Caenorhabditis elegans: one gene and its partner. The protein of the gene in region 1 interacts with the protein of each later gene in a pairwise test. Each region holds a gene or a part of one and is shown in the gene's direction. Other genes may lie near its edges. The genes, in order: wsp-1 and wip-1.

Region 1 (7,080 bases):
TTCTTCGAAAATTGTTCGACGTTTGTTGGTCTTATTTTTGATCTCGATCGTATTATTCTATTCTATTATTCTGGAGCGGTAATTTTTTGAAATGACCAATCCATTGAAATTAATACAAATTGTCATTTACTATAATAGATAATCGGAAAAAAAAGTTGAAATTGAAACTTATTAAAACGTACCTGATATCTCGGAATGGTCTTACTGTAGTCTACTGTATTCCTAACTTACAATACGATATGTCATTATGTGTCACTTGATTCGAAGTTATATTGCTTACAATCTATAAAATTCTATTTGAAAAAATAGAAATTTGTTCTGACCTATCATGAATCTCAGTTTTGTGTTCCTCTAAAGCATGAGCCACTTTCAATCGACGCATGTGAAAAGCGGGCCACTTGAAAGAGCAAGGAGTAGGACAAGACGAGTACAGGATTCAATGGAGATCTACGTGATCTTACCCGTGCCTTGTGCTCTACAATGTTCAATCTGAACAAAGAACGAGCACTGGTTCAATTATAAGGTTTTCATACTTTTTATTTTCTTCTCTTTTTTACAATAGTGCTTCAAGTCTCCATCTCTTCTTCTGCAGCAATCCTATGCGGTTGTATTATGTTCATGCATTAATTTTTGAGAAGTCGACACTTGAGAGGAAGTTATAATTAGGTTTTCGTATATAGTTTTGTATTTGGCGCAGGTTATTTTTGAAACATAGTATATCTTTAAAATCTGTTAACAGAACACAAGCAGATGTGAAAAAAGTGTAGAAATTATTTAATAATAAGTGAAACTGGCTGTTCCTTCCGTTTTCCGAATGTCATTATTGACGTCTAGAGGTGTAGCTGTTCCTACGTGTTGTTGTTAGCGGGTGTGACAGTAGTCAAACGATGATTGAATAATTTTTGTGTTGAAGTACACGCTTTCAAACAAAAAAGTAAAATCTTAGTTTTTTCAGTCTTACCGCTGTTTTAAATTTGAAGGATCACCCTTAAGAACGGTGTCTCGTTTACTATAAAAGTACTGTAAACTCAAGAAAAAAATTACGATACTTCTTACAAAGTATTTCTGGTAGCCACACATTGACACCTAAGTCACAAACTAATAGAAACATTATCTTATTATTTCTCAGTTTTTTAATGTTTAACTATATTGAGACTCTCTCCGTTAGAGGTTCAGGGCAGCACATACACACATACACATACTCATCGGTGTTGACTCCGCCTAACTCTCGTGAGAAGAGAAGTGCTTCAGTTCACCTCCCCACAGTTTTCGCCCCATCATTTCGGTCACTTTTACTATTCATTTCTTACATGGAAAATTTTTGGAATATGTAAAAAATATCATTTTTTGAATAGAAATAGATAGTTGTTAGGAATTCAATTAATATTTACATCTGTTTCCTCTGTCAATATGCACATCTCACTGCCGCCAAACTGTGGTAGTGTGTTGTGTAATTTGATTCCGAATCGAAACGATTGGGCGAGAGAGAAAATTAGAGGGAGAGAAGCCGAACGGTGTGAAGAGGCGAAACGGTATACAATAATGATGTGTATTATGACGGTTTTCATTTCGTTCTGTTTCTATGATTCTCTGAATATCCGTTCGAATCACTAAGTGCTTGTACGCCAATCAGAAAGTCATGGCAATTTAAAAGATTTAGAAATGCAAACGTTTTTTTTTCCAAATTCACTTTTCATCAGACTTCAGCAAGATTTTTTGAAGAATAGGATGTTACAAATTATGCTTGCGTAAATATGCAACATTTTTTGGAATGCCCATTTTCGAAGTCAACTAGAGGTATAATTTGGAACCCTTATATACATCTCTCCTTTCAATTGTTTCACACATCACTCGGATATCTCAAGTGAATTTGTTCCATTCCTTCATTTTATGACCTGAAAATTCCGATTCTCACAGCTTTCGATTCCATAAACGTCACCTTTCGACATTTCCCATATACTCTTTTTTCTCTCGCTTTCATCTCCATAATTTGCGACGATCTTTTTCGCCTTCTTTCAGAAGTATCAGAAGTAGTAGCCATTCGAAGAATAATAACATGTGGATGGTGGTAAGCGAGGATCCGGCCGGCCGCCTCCGCTATCAGTACCACAACCTGCCGGTCGCTCAATCGTTTCCTCCTCCTTCCCACCCTCCGCCACCGTCTGCGACAACCAATCCGTCGTCCAATAAACCGTCAACCGTTTCGTCGGCGGCTCAAATTTATTCGTCCTTTCCATCCTCCACTTCCTCTTCCGGTACTGGCGGTCATCTTCACCATAACCATATGCAACGTTTTGCACGTGGAGGATGCTCTAGCTTCCCTGATTCTATGGGATCCTCACCTCGTACTACCCATCGGAGTCATACTCTACCAAATGGAGGATATTATGAAATGGAACAATATGACAATGTAAATGATTATTCGACTTATGGAGGTCCTGATTCCACGTCAAGCTCAACAAGCTCATCTGCAGAATACCAAGATCCAGTATATTCAACAAGGTATGGAGGATCCACAGGTACATATGCAAGGCGTCAGAACTATGCAAGATGTTATGTTCCAATATCTGCTGATGCATTCTATTACTATCACAATCAACAAAAGCAACTACAACAGCAACATCATCAGCAGCAACAACAGCAGCTAGCATTCCGACCTCGTCATCGATCATCACATCATCATCAAGAACCTCGTCGACATAGAGCTCCGAGTCCTGATCCAGACTATTCACCCCCACTTTCTCGAAATAAGGTACGATTTCATATCCCAGAAGAACCAGTATCTCGTGGTGACTATGTGAGTTCTCGACACGTATTCAATACGGATGACTTCGGTGACGAAGACGACGATTATGAATCAGTATCGATGAATCCTGATCCTGCACCTCATTCTGATTCCGTATTAGTTCATCGATCAAATGGTCAAGTATCTGTTATGGTCACAAAGAAAGAAGAACCTATCTACTGTTCTGGAGGAAGTGATAGTAGTACAGAGAGTAGCAGTGCAACACCATCATCTGTAGAAGCAGATACTCCACCACCAATTCCATCTCATCCACCTGCAAGGCATCGATTAGTGAAGAAAAGTTCTAGTTCGACATCAATTTCGCTTAATGGTTTGTTTTACAGACTTTAAATATTCTGATGTCTGAATCTTCACCTCATCATTTTTACTCTTCTACAATAGTTTCTAAAACCTTTTAAAATCTCCCAAAAATTACACAGCTTGTGAAGCTTGAAAATTTAAAAACGAATTTAGTTTTTCGAAACTTCTAAAAGTATAGGAAGTGTCAACAAGTTGAACTCATGATGTGTATTTGCACTTTATCATAATATTTTTGTTTACTTGATCACTATCTTTCCATATTATCGTTTTTTCTTTGAGTTGATCAATTTGATAGACAGAATCTGGTTCTATAAGAGTTTTTCACACAAATTTGGAAAGCAAACATCCAACCCAGGATGGCGAGAAATTCGGACCGATTATTTGTGTTCATGTCATGTTATGAGCACCGCCGACCGAGTACTTGATCGGCTTCAAGCGCTCAGAGCACATGAACATCATTGTTGAGCAGAAATGCTGGAGAATAGAGAAAGATGATTTTTAACTGATTGGGTGATCGAATTGAAATGAAAAAGAACAGAGCACTTGACAGTGAGAACTTCTATATTTAATAATTTATTATTTCAGGAATCGGATCCACTCCAACACGACAATTCGAAATCACACAGGCTTATGGAGGAACAATTCGAGGACCTCCAATGGCAATTGGCGGAGGTCAAGGGATAACACAAATGGGAACTATGGCTGCTGCACCACAATCACATACACATACAGGTGAATATTTTTTTGGAAATTGAAAAATGATGTTCTCGTAGTCAGTAATTGAATTTCTGAATAAAATTACGTAAACTTAAAAAAAATCACATTTTATATCTCATTTCTTATGCATACTTTGCAAAATTTGCTCATATTTTAATGATTAATAAATTGAAAAGATTGTTACATAAATTTGGTGAGAAATCTCTTCAAAAAATAACATTAATTTTAATTAAATATTTTCAATATTTACAGATGGAAATGCTAGCAGTAGTGGATCATGGTTCCGGAAAGATAAAAACAAAAAGAAGGATAAAAAATCGAAAATTAAGAAAGAGGATATTTCTAATCCAACAAACTTTCAGTGAGATTTATTCCGTTTTAATGGTTTAAATTAAACTAAATATTTCAGACATAAAGCTCATGTTGGATGGAATCAGGATAGTGGATTCTCGAATACAGTTTACGACGATGATATGGATGAAGCTACTAAAAATATTCTAAAGGCTGCTGGATTGGAAAGCAATAATCTGAATGAGGATGATAAGAAATTCGTGAAAAAATTCATTGCCAAGAACTATGATAAATATGTATCTGTTGGAAGTTTGGATCCATCACAAATCTCATCACCTCTTCCACCACCAATTCAGCAACATCCACAGATGAATCAGTCATGGAATCAGTTAGTTTTTTTGTTTTCATTTCGGAAAAAAATAACTCCAAACCAGAAAAAATAAATTTAATTATGGTCCGACATCTACTGGGTTTCGCCCCTGTGAAGATACATGCATATGCGCTGTGTGAGTCGAAACCCGGTAGATGTCGGACCATGAAAAAGAGTAATGGCAACGCAATCCCAATTATTCTCCCCCGAAATGCTTTCGATGTAGTTTTTTTTCCGCAAACTTACAAAAAAAGTTAAAAGTAATATGTTTCTGTTACAGTTAACCCTTGAATATATTTTACGACTACTGTTTTTTGTAGCTGAGAACCAGAAATATTATGAAATATTTAATATAAATACTAGAAATATTAGAAATGAAATTAGTGTTGCATTTGGTGAGGGCGTATTTCAGCCATATTAGAAATACGATAACAAAAAAGTTTTATTTTTAAATGAAAAAAAAATTTTCAGAACACCAGTGCGTCAATACAAACCATCATTCCCATCATCTGCTCCGATTGGAAGCGGTGCTTCATCATATTCCACACCTGCCGCTCCTCCACCTCCAACACGTGTCGAATCTCATGGATTGGCTCCAGCTCGTCCACCTCCTCCACCACCGTCATCTGGTACCCGTGGAATTGCACCATCAAGACCTTTACCTCAAGTAAGTAACCGGAGAGTGATTTTCTGAAAAAAATTAATTTATATTCAGGCGCCCAACTATGGAACCCCAGAGAATCGACCACATGCGGTTCCACCACCTCCACCCCCTCCACCACCACAATCATTTGGAATGGCTCCGATATCATCCGCAGCTCCTCCACCACCACCTCCTCCACCACCGATGGGATTGCCAGCAGTAGGAGCAGGAGCTCCACCCCCTCCACCTCCACCACCACCTTCAGGAGCCGGAGGACCTGCATCGGTGCTCGCAAAACTACCACCTGCTCAGGATGGAAGATCGAATTTGCTAGCGGTTAGTATACTTTTAAAAATGTTCACTATTGAATTTTGTATTCAGGAAATCCAAGCTGGAAAACAACTTCGATCCGTTCAACAAACTGCAGATTCACCAAAATCGGCTGGTGGTGATGCTCGTGGAGATGTGATGGCCCAAATTCGACAAGGAGCACAATTAAAACATGTAAGACAATTTTTAACCGAAAATTACTATTGATTCCAATTTTTTTAAACTTTAGGTGGATGCAGCTGCTGAGCAAGAACGTCGAAAGAGTACGACTTCTGGAGCCGCTGGAATGGGAGGATTGGCTGGAGCACTAGCAAAGGCTCTTGAGGAACGTCGAATGAATATGGGAATAGATGATACTAGTGATGATGATGACGATGAAGATGACAAAAATGAATGGTCAGATTAGACTAAATTATCTCATTAAACTTGTTTTCCTTCCATTTTTCGTTTCCTTTTTCTGTGCAAATCCCGTGTGAAACAGGGTAATTTTAGTCCCTCAAGTACAATTCTTGATTTGAAAAATTACAGAATCGTCAATTTCCAAGATAAATTATCATACATTTTGAAAGTGACGAATTTGTAAAACTTGTGCATTTAGTTTTTTTTTTTCTCCAAATCAGTGCCTATTCCGTGTGAATTTCTCTTCGTAAGCCCCCTTCCACACACCCGAAATACCAACAAACTTTTAAAACTCAACCAGTCTTCTTGTTTTTCTCCCGTAGATTTTTCTGTGATGCTCCCCTCTCATCCAAAACCATTGTCCCTTTTTAGACTTACAGCAGAAACGCTCATAATTTTTTTGCATATTATCATTTTTCTGGGTATCCACATAAATAATTTTTGTTTCCAATTCGATGAGAAGTAGAAGCTTTCCGGGTAGAGCTTGTTTATTCACAGGTGTACAATAAGAATAACGGCTAAAATAAATAGCAAAAAAAATGGTTCTGTGTGCTTTTTGGGAACAAATTGAGATTATGAGATGATTTTTTGTAGATTTTTGTGTGATTTATGAACAGAAAATGTAAATTTGAAAATCGCTATTACTGGTTACGGGAAACAACGGGAAAAATTCTAAGAAGAATGATGGAGTCTCGGGATATGAAGAGAAAATATTACACAATAAATTATTAGGAAACATGTTTCATAAACATCTTGATCTATAAGTGACCGCATTGGAAGGACATTTTGGTTGGGAGGAAACGAATCGGAATTGGTTGACAAGAACCCGTAAAAGTGCAACACAATCTGAGATGAAATGGGGAAAAAAGAAACAAATTTAATTCTAAATATGTTTTTTTTTGTTGAGAAAATTATTTCTAAGTGTGATGACTCGAATGCATTCGATATTTATCTTTTACAAGAGTTCCACGATGATGACGACGAGAGCTGTGATGATGATCTGATGCCAGAAGTTCCCTTTCAATGTGAATACCATCAGCTTCTAGGACAGATTGCTCATCTCGCAGGTGGCAACACTGAAATTTGTTGAATTTTCAATAAACTTCCGATCTAGAACTGATATTTACCTTCACAGCGATCGTCCTCAAGAACGGATGCTTCACAGCTTCAGCAGCCGACACTCGATCTTTTCCTTCGTACTGTAAGAATTTCATGAGCAATTCG
Region 2 (4,864 bases), on another chromosome or scaffold:
GAAGTTTCGTGTTTCATTTACAACTATGGCTATGAAAATCCGTGTTAGATTGAAAAAAAAACAATTAACTCACTGAATTTGATGGGGAGACATGTCCGTTAAGCTCGGCTTTCGCTAGAGTTGGCCAATCCTGAGTGGCAGCAACAGTGACTGTTTCAGTAACAGGAGCAGTTGCTGCTGGGGCTGTGGATGTTTTCCATGGCTCTTTCTTTGATTCTCTGGATTTTGACTTCTCTTTGATTGGCGCTGCTTGTTTAGGAGTTGGCTCAACAGCCCGTTTCTTTTCTGGAATTGGCGCTGAAGATTTCTGAACGACTGGAGTTGCAGTAATAATAAATTGGTCTGCGGCGGTTTCGGATTTTTGTTCCTTTTGAGCTGCGGCAGCTGCGGCTTCAGCTTCTTCTGAAACTATGATTTTTTTTTGGAAAACGTGAAAACCCAAGAACACTTTCAAAAAAGGCATAACCAATTCGGTTTATGAATATATAATTTTAAAAAAATCGCACCTTTGTTTTTGAACCAAGCGTTTATAGCCGGTAATGGAGCTGGTTCCAGCACAACAGGAATCTCAACTGGTTTCACCTCTTCTGTTGCTACCTTTTCAGCTGGTTTTTCGGTTTTAGTCTCTCCTCTCGGTTTTCGATCGCCTTTTCTGTTATTACGACGTTTTCCTTTTCCTTCACCTCGTGGTCTTTCCGAACGTCCACCAACATTTTCCTTTTCACGTCTGTTATGTGGTGGATGTGCCTGCTTTTCGGGTTGACTGTTTTCGTTTTGTGTAGAAGAATGAGAGCTATCTTGCGTGTGCTGAACCTGCTGTGATGGAGACGAAGCGTCTTCCGCCTGTCCAGAAACTACTTTTGCGAATGAGAGCATGGGCTGCTTCTCGGCCATCCGATCTTCTTTTCTACTTGCTGTTGATGTTAGCAAGTTTTTCTTACCTGGAAAAAAATATTTTGGACTGAATTGGCATTGGAAAATTTTTAAAAAACGTATTCCGAAGTGCGACAAAAAAAGTTGAATAAATTTACAAGCTAGAAAATGGAAACATGGAAGAACATACTATCCACTTTTTCGATTTTGAAGAACATCTAAATTTTTTAATGTTGTTCAGAAAGATTGTTCCGGTTTTTTCAACTTTCTGAAAATAAGACGGTAAAGAATTTTATCAGAATCGTTTGAAGTTTTGGAAAACAAGAAGACTATGGATAGAGTTAATACTTTCGATAAAGTTTTTAATCCGCCTGAGATTGTACCCTTGACGACAAATGGAGAGAACAGAGAAATGAGAGAAGATATTTAACCTTTAAAAAAGTGTTTGAACTTATTTGTTAGAAACCTTAATCAATGAAATGTAAAAGAGAAATCGCTTAAATTTAAATATTTGTCCAAAAAATCGATACTATTTTATTCTGAAATATTAAAAAAAACAGAAAGAAAGAAAGACATAAAATAGCGAAAAGTTCAATTTCTGCGTAGCGCCCCTATGCTTTACCATTGCACTAGAAGTTTACACACAGTCTGGGGGTACACACGAAATGCCCGGCAGCTCGCGCACCGAGAACGCGTCAATAACTAGCCCTCATGCGTCTTTTTGGTCGCCTTGACGCGATTCTCGTGTCCGCTGGTTTTGTTGTTTTGCCGAGTAAACACACGTTTTGAAGGCCAAGACGGGACAGATTATTTTTTTTTCAATTGTTTTTCTGCATGAAAGAAAGCAATGTTTCTTTACTCTATTTTCCCCGTTTCGTAGAAATTTCAATGTCTCCTCTTCCCTAGTTTAACCTTTTCTCAGTTTTGAAATAATCTTTCGATAAAATCAATGATGACTCATAAAAGTTTGTCTTATTAAAAGCGCTCATACTTCCTTAACTTTTCACTCTTTTAGATAATGCCTCCACCACCTCCACCACCGCCGCCTCCACCTCCGCCGCCACCTCCGGCTGCATCGGCTCCGCCACCATCCAGCAATGCTCGAAATGCTCTTCTTGGCGATATTCATGTGAGTTTAAAGTTTTTTTAATTTGTAAAAATAATTTAAATATTCAGAAAGGTTTAAAACTGAAAAAGACAGTCACGAATGATCGATCAGCGCCATCTGTTGGAAAAGTCGTTGGAAGTAGCGGATCTTCATCGAATGGAAATTCTGGAAACGGAAATGGTCCGGCTGCTAAACCTCCACAAATGTCTGGCGGATTAGGAGGTCTTTTTGCGAATGGAATGCCAATGAAACCAAGCGAGAATAAAATTAGACGAGCAACTACTAGTATAGGTATATCTAAGTTTAAACTTTTTGGCAATTTAACGCAATTCACAACAAGAATTTAAAGTACTAGGAAAATATACATTTCAATGTTTTAAAGTATTTTTTCTCGCACGGAGAACAAACTGGCAAAAAAAATTGTTTTCAGTGATATCCCTTTTTAAAATAACCGTTACCCATTATAACCCTCTATCCCACTTTCAGGACCCCCTCCAACCGCCTCATCAGCTCCACCAGTACCTCCTCCTGCTCCAGTTCCAGCTGTTGAAGGTACACATTCAGTTTTTGTTGTCGTTTTCCCCCAATTTTTGGTTTTTTCACTAATTCCAATTAACCCAAGTGAAAAAACAAATGTTTTTTTCAGGAAAAAAGCCATCGATTGTCTCATCATCTTCATTTTCTCATCATGGTGCCACATCTTCGGCTCCTCCTCCTCCGCCTCCACCACCGCCAGTTTCAGTTCCAAGCTCAAAACCGACTCCACCTCCACCGCCACCAGCTCAGCAGAAACCATCGGTTAGTCATTGAGAAATGATTTTTTAAAAAAGAAAAAAATAACTGTTTGGAAGTGCTAAAGAATTACCAAAATTCCGCAGAATAAGTCATCTTTTTTTCTTAATTTTATTCGTTTGTAAAGTTTTGCATGAGTTTGAAATTCGATGTTTACGCTTTCGAGAGATTGTAAAAAAATAAAATCGAAGGATTTTTAAAAAGAAACTTACAACTTGATATATTAAATTAAGCATTTCTGTGATTTGCTGTAAAATGTGAATTAATATTTTTTGTCCAATTGTATTTATGTTTTAGTGTTTCTGTCAGTTTCAGAGTGATCGTGAACAGTTCCGAACGATGAGACCTCTACGACCAGCAAATGATGTGAAACCGACAATGTATCGACGAAGTGGAAGTTCAGAGGTTTTTTTTGTTATTTTGTCGTTTTGCAGTGTTTAGTGGTTTTTAAAGTTTCCTTATGTTTTATTCTCCGGAATTATATTGTGCGCCGAGTCTTATAGACTCTGCGTCTCACCCTCTGACAATATGATAAGCATGAGAAGTTATGTAAAGGTAGGAAGAATCGTTTCGCAATAACTAGAAATTTATAATACCACTTTATGATCTAGTTATTTTGTCCAGAAAGGTAACACCAGATGAAATAATTTTTATTTAATTTCAGGATATACCGCAAGCGACGTCGGCAACCAGACTGGCACGTCCATTAGCTCCTCCGCCAGCTCGCCCAGCTGCACCACCACCGCCAGTACCAACGCCGTCCATAGCACAAATGTCCAGCAGATTCCAGTCGCCAGCGATATCACGGTTAGAAAAATTAACGATTTTTTGAATAACAAATAATTTTAAGTTAATAGTTTCGAGTAATTTCATGTGTATGTTATCAAATTGTTTTTTTTTAAATTAAAACCGGCACAAATCGAACATTTTCAGGACTCTTGATGATGCTCCCCCACCACCTCCACGAATCGCTTCAAAAACATCAGTTGCTCCAACATCATCTCGGGCTCCACTTCCCCCGTCTTCTTCATTTGCACCTTCAATTTCAGCATCTCCAGCACCTGCCCCACCTCCACCTCCACCGCAGGCTGCTTCACCGTATCCTGGAATGAAATCAACTGCGACTGTCTCAGCGAACGTTCCATTTCATCCACTTAACAGGTATTTTTTAAATTCATTTTTTTTTCTTCGCAATCTTTTAAATTATAGGTTCCACTTTCTACCGCTTTCTCAACTGCCACCACCACCTAAAGTTTCGTCTGGAAGTATTCGTGCCTGATTTGGTGCTGCCAAAATGCCTTAAACTATTTTTCTCATTCTCACAATGCTCATGACGTTTCTTTCCATCAAAATGTTTGTAAAACTATTGAAAATAGTCCGTCAATCCCCCAAACCCGTTAAATATAAAATTCCCACTGTGATTTGATGCCCCCATTTTCACTTTCCCCTCTTTCATTTATATCCAACGCATTTCTAAATGTGTACCACTCCCGATTCTATTATTTTCTCTTCGAATAACATAACCTGTTTCTAGTCCCATTTTTTCCTGGGTTTCTTCATGGTTTCTCAATAAATCTGTGAAAATTGTCATTCAACTCTTGTTTCTAACGAAATTTATTTGTTTTTATCATTTTCCAAATATCTTCACAAAACATATATGTTTATAAAATATATTTAAAACTCAAAAATTGCAGTTATGGAGCCAAACCCATCCGATCCTGTTCTAACAGATCGGATTCAAGCAATCGTGACGACTGAAAAAAGTATTGATGAGATGATGAAGTGTGCTCGAGAAATTATTCAAGATTTGGGAAAAGAGAAACAAATCGGAAAAGTTTGTTAAAATTTTGAAGTTAAAAAATATAGAAACATATTTCTTTCAGAATAAAATGGAAGATAATGCGAACAATTTCAAAAAACTGATAACTCAAGTGGAAAATGAATTGAGCGCTCAAATGCAATACTTATCGCATGTTTGTGTTGGATCATCACATCAAGGTATTACTCATTGGAAATTATTAATTTATTTCTACACGTACTTTTCAGGATCAACATTCGGTGTACTTCAAAACTCACTTCTCGCTCAATCTG

What was found.
Region 2: the proteins of wsp-1 (region 1) and wip-1 interact in a two-hybrid assay, tested with the Caenorhabditis elegans proteins (one study listed by BioGRID).

The regions. Positions count from the first base shown.
Region 1 is NC_003282.8:8,188,129-8,195,208, reverse strand, and holds wsp-1 (CRIB domain-containing protein), read left to right. Parts: upstream 1-2,013; 5' UTR 2,014-2,056; coding exon 2,057-3,116; intron 3,117-3,691; coding exon 3,692-3,838; intron 3,839-4,075; coding exon 4,076-4,184; intron 4,185-4,232; coding exon 4,233-4,502; intron 4,503-4,955; coding exon 4,956-5,151; intron 5,152-5,199; coding exon 5,200-5,463; intron 5,464-5,508; coding exon 5,509-5,631; intron 5,632-5,686; coding exon 5,687-5,863; 3' UTR 5,864-6,305; downstream 6,306-7,080. Other genes in the region: pct-1 (Cyclin-dependent kinase 17), read right to left, coding at 6,774-6,932, 6,984-7,080.
Region 2 is NC_003281.10:5,016,757-5,021,620, forward strand, and holds wip-1 (WH2 domain-containing protein), read left to right. Parts: upstream 1-1,882; 5' UTR 1,883-1,891; coding exon 1,892-2,002; intron 2,003-2,049; coding exon 2,050-2,272; intron 2,273-2,467; coding exon 2,468-2,533; intron 2,534-2,627; coding exon 2,628-2,779; intron 2,780-3,082; coding exon 3,083-3,178; intron 3,179-3,437; coding exon 3,438-3,580; intron 3,581-3,706; coding exon 3,707-3,934; intron 3,935-3,982; coding exon 3,983-4,052; 3' UTR 4,053-4,364; downstream 4,365-4,864. Other genes in the region: larp-1 (La-related protein 1), read right to left, coding at 74-402, 507-894; mdt-11 (Mediator of RNA polymerase II transcription subunit 11), read left to right, coding at 4,470-4,607, 4,657-4,771, 4,820-4,864.